2 linked regions of the Alligator mississippiensis genome follow. The protein of the gene in region 2 interacts with the protein of the main gene of each other region in a pairwise test. Links are inferred from orthologs where the notes say so. Each region holds a gene or a part of one and is shown on either strand. Other genes may lie near its edges.

The links.
Region 1: the proteins of YTHDC1 (region 2) and TRA2B interact in binary tests that used the Homo sapiens proteins (3 or more experiments, as listed by UniProt). The link is inferred for Alligator mississippiensis from reciprocal best matches to the Homo sapiens genes YTHDC1 and TRA2B.

What each region holds. Positions count from the first base shown.
Region 1 is NC_081830.1:33,879,438-33,883,184, reverse strand, and holds the start of TRA2B (transformer-2 protein homolog beta), read right to left. Parts: upstream 2,654-3,747; 5' UTR 2,561-2,653; coding exon 2,525-2,560; intron 1-2,524. UniProt on the Homo sapiens protein: Sequence-specific RNA-binding protein which participates in the control of pre-mRNA splicing. Can either activate or suppress exon inclusion. Acts additively with RBMX to promote exon 7 inclusion of the survival motor neuron SMN2.
Region 2 is NC_081825.1:132,859,755-132,863,501, forward strand, and holds the start of YTHDC1 (YTH domain-containing protein 1), read right to left. Parts: upstream 2,897-3,747; 5' UTR 2,785-2,896; coding exon 2,757-2,784; intron 1-2,756. UniProt on the Homo sapiens protein: Regulator of alternative splicing that specifically recognizes and binds N6-methyladenosine (m6A)-containing RNAs.

The DNA.
Region 1 (3,747 bases), on a different chromosome or scaffold from region 2:
TTAGAATTAGCTTCATGTGGTTAAAGATTATGAAGAGGCTTCTTGTGATAATGCATTAGATACAACTGCAAGATTAACTTGTTCCATATTTTAAACAATGCAAGTTGAAAAAACATACTACAGACAAGTTGCCAGTAGCATTAAATAATTCAAAGAAGGCAGAGGCATTTGGAACATCTAGAATAGCCTCATTCTTCAACAGACATCTGCACTAGGAAAAGGTATTCTAAGATGATCTGGAAATGTGCATCTTTTTCTACTTGGAGATAAGGCCAGCAAATCCAAATCCAAAAACAACAAGTGCCCTCCACCTATACTGGTCAAGAGTCAGGGTCAGTATTTGCAAGTCTCAACTGATTCCAAATCAATGCATGGCAACTATCCATTTTCCAAAAGTACCCTCTCCTGTCTGAATATTATTGTTTAGGTGAAGCCATATAATCTATGAACATATGATCTAAATCATTATCACAGTGCCTTCTAAGCAAGCTGCTCTTATTTAAACTTCTGTATTTGGAACAAAATTCACACACTTGTATCTTGGAAAACTAATCAATGAAGCCACACGAGGGCCTGATTATGCTGAGAAAGGCAAGCAGTGGCAAGACTAATGACAATGGAAGTCAATTACATCTCACTCACTGAGCCCTCCATCTATGAAATAGGGACACCACAACTTCCAACTTGAGGAAGAATGACACTAACCCTGCAACATGTCAAAAATACATCAAATAAACCCTGGTTAATTAACCACTCCTGGAGAATGCAAACAAACCTTACTCAGCAATGATGAATTAGCATTAGTGGGGGGGGGGGGGGCCCCCCACAGGCAGAACAACAGGAAACTGCAATCATAGCAGTATGTTATTCTGTAGACAAATTAACCTCATGAAAGCCACAACCTGCAATCTAGTTTAACAATAGCAAATCTCTTGTAACTAGTTATCTACACTCTCCATTTTTAAAGACACTTGTTAATACCAAGCATATTTATGAATTTCCAAGAGTCCAAATGAGCCACATGAGTAATACTAGCATGTTCCAAACACTGCCTACAATATGACTTTCTGGAAAACCCCAAAACCAGAAAGATTCATAACCTGATTTTTAGAAATTGTTACTATTCCCTAATGTAAGGTCCTCTTGCCTCTACTGCTTCATTTGTTCGTTTGTTTTCGGTGTTTTGGCAAACAGCTTTCCTAGAATACCCTGCCAGGTCATCCCAAGTAGGGTTAAACGTGTGCTTACACAGTAGCCAAAAGCAAAGTATAGCTACCGCCATTTTTTGGATGGTTCACTGTAAGCAGGACTTAATCCCACCTCAAATATACTCTTTTCTTAGTAGATTATTTAGGATGAGCATAGGATATGGATGCTCTTGAAAAATAAAACAAGTCTGAAATGTTACTAGATGAAACATCATCTAATTATGGCTATCACTTTTACCTCCAAGGGCACCAGTTCATTCAAAGAGCACAGCCTTTAGTTATCACTGCTGATTACCTCAAAACCCAGCGCTGCCCAATGCAGCCAAATCTCTGCTGAAGCTAGAAAACGCTACACCTGCTATTGCAAGGGCAGTGCCAGGATGCAATGAACAGCTAACACCCCAGACTGATTTCTGGAGTTAGCCTAATCTCACTAAGAAAAGCAATGCAAAACCTCCATGAGAGGCTTAAAAACTGTTCTACCGACTGACACCTAGAATGAAGACGCTTGGTTTCTGGTCAGGGAGGATGCTGCACTGGGCAGGGTGCTGGACTAGGTGACCTTGGGAGGCCCCTTGCAGCCTCTTCCCTAGGACCCTACCGACTACACATCCCAGCAACGGGAGGAAGTGAAAAGCCTCTTTCAATCCTTTTTCCATTTGAACCAAGCGGCTCCCTGGAGAAGAGGCTGGCGCGCTGTCACGGGTGACCGGCTCAGCCCCTCTGCCCGTGAGTTGGGGCAGGATCTCGGCCCGCGCAGGGCTGCCCCAGGGGGTTTCTAACGCCCCCCTCCCTCGGCCCGGCCTGTCTGCGGCCCCCAAGCGGAGTGCGGGGTGAACCAGGAAAGGGGCCCCGCCGCACACGAGGCCGGCGCCCCGGGTCGCTGCACAGGCCGCCCGCACCGCCCAGCGGCCCCGCACCCGCCGCCCTGCAGAGGCGGGGCGGAGGCGGCAGCGCTGAGGGGCGCTCGGGGCCGCGCCCCCACGGCCCTCGGCCATTTTGTCCCTCCGCCGCGCGCCCGGGTCCCCAGCCCAAGATGGCGCCGGGCGGACTCACCACAGAGCGCGCGGGGCGGCTAGAGCGCCCGTGCCGCCCCTCCCCCCCCGGCCGGCCCGGCGGCCATTTTCTCGCGCCAAACCCAACCCCGCGGGCGCCTCCCGGGGCCCGCGACCACCGAGGCCTCCCCGCGCGCGGCGGGCCGTGGCCTTCCGCCTCGCTTTCCTGGCCCCCGAGCGGGCCGGGCCGGGCCGGGCCGGGTCGCGGCGGAGCACAGCCCCGCGCCCGGGCGGGCGCCCGCGCACAGCTCCGTGTATTACCCGCTCGCCGTAGTTCTGCTCCCCGCTGTCGCTCATCGTTTCCCCCCCGCGCGAGCTCCGGGCGACCGCGGCGCCGCCGACCCGACCCGACCCGACCGTCCCAGGCGCGAGCGCTCTCCGCAGCGGAAGTGACGTGCAGGCCGTGCGCGCGCGTCGTCACCTGACACCCCTCAGCTCCACCCCCTTCCTGTGAGCCCTCGGTCCCGCCCCCGCGCGCCGGGAGGGGGAGGGGGAGGGGAAGGGGAAGGGGGCGGGGCGGGAGCGGCGGTGTTGCTGCTTGCCGGGCCTGCATCAGTGACAGTAAAGGTGTTCCATGTGGACCGTCCTTTTAGAGGCCGCAGGTGGAAACCGAAGCAGTGACACTCAGGGAGGCTTAACCGCCTGTGGGGTCGGCTGTCAGCCCTTCCTCCCCACCAACTGGCTCGAAATAAACGCCTCAACTTGAACCCAGGTCTCACTCACTGTGAACAAGAGAAAGCAAATAAGGAGAAATTTATTTGCATGTTTTTTCAGTGTATGGTATTTTTTCAGAAAACACAATAATTTTGAGCTTTTCATATTTAAGACCTGGCAGCGCTGCCACAGAGAGCCTGTGGCTGAGGCCGTGGGAGCTCCCCAGCGAGGGGCTCAGTCGCACCTGAGCTGGGGCCAGAAGCAAGGGGCAAAAAGGATGCCTCTAGTGCGGCCAGGCCAGCCGCAGCTCTCTGGTGCACGCCACGCCCTTCTGCCGAAGAGTTCGTGTCTGTGGAGGCACGGGGATGAGCTGAGCTGCCCCAGGCACTGGCACTGGTGCAAGAAGTAGAGGTTCCCTGGGGAAAAAGGGGCCAGACACGGGCTTGGAGGGAAGGGGCATTGGTAGCTGCTGGGCACAGGCATGAGGGCACCAGAGCTCCCCAGACCTTCCCTACTCGAAGCTGCAAGTGGGAGAGGAAAAATCCTGGTCAGTCCCAATGTCCGGTGTGACCCCGTTTCGAGGTGCCATTGCCGAACGTGGCCGGAGCCCACCAAGCATGGCTTTAACCACAGAAGGAATGGGCCACTAAGGGCACATCACTGATTGCATGGGACAGCCAAAAGACAAAACAGGGATGGGAGTGAAGGTCAAAGGTTCAGAACAAGCTGTGTTGATTTTGGGGGACAACTAAAACACAAAATAGGGATGAGAATGAAGGTCATACGTCCAAAATGAGCGGTGTGACATGGGAGACTGGGCGAGATGGATA
Region 2 (3,747 bases):
ACATGTATGGAGCAGTGAGAGGAATGAGGCCTGCAGTCTTGGACTTGTCTGAGGGTTAATGAGCACAGGTTGGTGTGCTCTGCTCAGTATTGGCCCTTGGTGCACTCATTCTGAACCTCTGACCATCACTCCCATCCCTGTTTAGTCTTTCCTTTGTCCCAAGAAATTAGCCATTACTTTCTCAGTGGCCTCCCTTTGCAAGTGAAGCTTATAGTTCTCCTTGGCAGGCAATGGTCCATGATCCCTTGAAAGAAACACTCTGTCTCTGTCCATGGGCCCAAATACTGAGACCTCCTGGGCAATCTTCTCATGGCCTTGTCCAACCTAGTGATCTACTTAGCCAGGAAGGAAGCTTGGGGGGGGGGGGGGCAAGACAGAGACTCTTAGGGACTGTAGAACTGCTTTTCTGTCTCTGGTCTGTTCACATCCCTGGACAGTTTCACTAGACAGTGTCCATTAGCTCTCTGGACTCAACCCAGGGTGAATGGACATTGGCTGGTGTGCTCTGCTCGGTGTCCTTTCCCCACAGTGCACTTGTTCTGAACCTCTGACACTCACTCCCATCCCCATTTTGCATTTCGTTTATCCCATGAAATTAGTTACTTTCTCAGTGGCCTCCATTTCTAAGAGGGGGTTTACAGTCTTTCAAGCTCATATCCCTTGAAAGTAACTAACTGGTCTGTTCCTGGTCTGCTCACATCTGTGTGCAGAGTATCACTGGGCAGCATCCACTGGCTCCTTGGACTCATCTGAGGGCCAGTGGGCATTGCCCAATCTGCCCTATGTGCTCTGCTCTGTCCCCCATCTCCCCTGGAGCACTTGTTCTGAATTCTTCCATCTCTGCTTATTTTTTCCAAGTGTCTGGAAAAATCAGTTGCCGCATACTGGGTTGGCCTGTCACAACAGGGGTGGAAACCCATCCTATGTGGGCACAAGCCCATGACTTTTCTGCATACCAGACAGGGCCATGTCACATAGTAGCAGAAAGCGGGTGCTGAAAAGGAGAGCGACTAGGGTAAACCCCCTCCCTGTCACCCCACTGCAGCCGTTTCAGCAGCATTTTGAAAGATCAAGACATAAAGGGAAGAAAGAAAAAAATAAAAGCTCATCAACTTCAGAACAAAGTGAGAATTTTCCAGAACCCTAGTTTCAGAGAAAAAACCCATACTAAGCAACCTCTCACCATATTCGGAATGAACAGCACCTCATGTTTGACATGTACAGACCTAAAGTCTGTATTGTAAGTAAATTCAAAGTGTAGTCCATACAGTCAAATGCAAATCCATTCCAACATCATCTCAGTTTTCTTCAAACCATTCCTTCCTTCCTGCATCTTGTGCTTTATAACAAAATAGTTCTTCTATTAATGACACATGCAACTAAACAACAAAATTATTTATACCCTAACCACTTTTATCACGTGTTTCTCAAAAACACAAATAAATGTATGACCCCCCACCCTATGTTCTGGTGCAAGACATAAGCATCTCTCAGATTCCAAGTAGAGCTGGAAGAAATTATAAGAGCTCAGAGGTTTGTCCAGTCTTAGACAGTTGCAGAGACTTTAATAACTAAACTTGAGACTGAATCACATCTTACTCTTACACTTTTAAAATACCTTCCCACTTTTTGTATGTTCAGTGAGTCCTATGGGAAAGACCTGAAAACAAAAGCCTCATAAAGGATTTCAGAATTAAAACTAGTTTTACTACCAACTTCTCCACTTTGTAAGAAACCCCATGGTTAAAGAGTATGCATAGCTGTCAAAATTAAACACTGCTAACATACCAATCGGTTAAAGAAATGACAATAACAGTCCTATTATCTGGCTGTCCTGTTATCAGAGACAGGGAGCTTAAAAAAATGGTTTTATGTCATGTTGAAGATACCCTTTGCAGGTGACCTGAACTACACATACCAGAGCTCAGGACTACTGACCAAGCATGATACCAACCACACCTTTCCTTAGAGCCTGGGAGCTGTATAAAATAATGCTAATGACAAATTCTACTGCAATTAAACACTGTAACGAGAAAGAAGCATAACTCAACACCCTGCTTGCCAACAGACACCTTTGGGGTAAATACACTGCTCCAACTTTTACTGGAGCCTAATTTGCAGAAAATGAAAAATGAACTTTTCCAGGCAAGAGATCTTACATTGCCCTCCTGTGAAATATGAATTTTCATTTCTACCTGGGAGAAATTTTGCAATCTTTGCATTCCCCTATGCCTGAGGAAGGGCATGTGCCCCCAAAAGCTTGCAAAGAAAGAGTTTTGGGATTTTTTTTTGCAACCATCTAGTCAGTCCAAGATATCGCCTCTAGCCCACTGAATGAAGTCAACTGCTTTATTTATTTATTTATTTTTGGAGTAGATAGATATGATCCGCCCCATGACTTAACACACCAGACTGAAGAGCTCTCTTTCGCCCTACCAATCTTGATCTGACAGCTGTCACTAAGACTTCGGATTTCTTCTACAAATGTTTCTTAGAGTAGGTATGTGCAGAGGACGAGAGGCCCACACCGACCCGCTCAGGAAGTGAGAGCAGCGGCCTCATCGCCCGCTGCCGCCATCCGAGATGGGGAATTAAAAAAAAAAAAAGAGAGAAACGCGGTTTGGTGCCGTGGTGGGGACCTCCTCTACAGACCCCCGCACTGCGCACCAGGCCGGATGCCGCCCCAGGGACTTACAAAAGCGGCGCCAATGACACATCCCAACCCCCCCTGCCCGGGCCCGCCGCCGCACTTGTACCCTGCTCCTCCCGGCTGTCCGCCGCCATCCCGCCGCCGGGGCTCGGGGCCTCGGAGCCAGGCCTAGGTCGCGGGAGCCGCCGGGGCCCTAAAATGGAGGCTGCTTCCTGGGCGGAACAATTCCCCCACCTCCCCTTCTACCCATCATGCACCGCTTTGTTTACGCTCCACGCGTCACAACGCCGGGCCCTGACGTCACCGCGCGCGCACGCCCGCAGCAGGGCTGGGCGGTGAGGAGGTGGGGGGGTGGGGCGTCGTGCCAGAATGCCGAAACCGCTGATGTCATCGCGTCCGCCCGCTCGCGGAAGGCGTAGGAGGGCGGGGCATTACCGCTACGCTCATCACGTGGCTTCTCCTGTAGCTGGGCGCGCGGGGGGCGGGGCTTGGAATCATCCTCCCCCTTCGAGTTGCAGTCACTGCTGGGGGGCGGAGAGGGGCGGGGCGGGACGGGACGAGGCGCGGACTGTGCGGAGCCTGCAGACCTGTGGGAAGCTGTGGAAGCTGCGCACGCGCGAAACGGGGAGGGGTGCAGTGTTGCTAGGTGTACGGTACGATTGTATTTGTAGGATCACTTCAACCTTCCTGCCATGTATAATCAATAATAGTAAAAGTGTTCAAAAAGTCTGATAATTTTTGAGGTAGCTCACTGATGCAGCATATGCAAAGCCCAAGTCACTCTCAGGGAGTTTTAACCATATTTCAGGCTTGTGGTCAGCACTTTTTTAGGACAGCTTGTCTTGAAATAAATAAATGCCTCAACTTTGATGACCCACTTCTCACTCTCTGACTGGGGAGTTATAGTGAGCAATATAAAGTAAAGAAGAAGACTTATTTACATGTTCATTTGTACACTTATTTGCATATCTTTCTGTGTATAATAATTTTTCAGCAAAAACGATAATTTTGAGCTAATTTCATATTGAAGACCTGGCAACGCTGGGGCAGACCTAGGGTGTTGAATAGAGGTGGTGCACATGGTGAGGTGTCTCCGG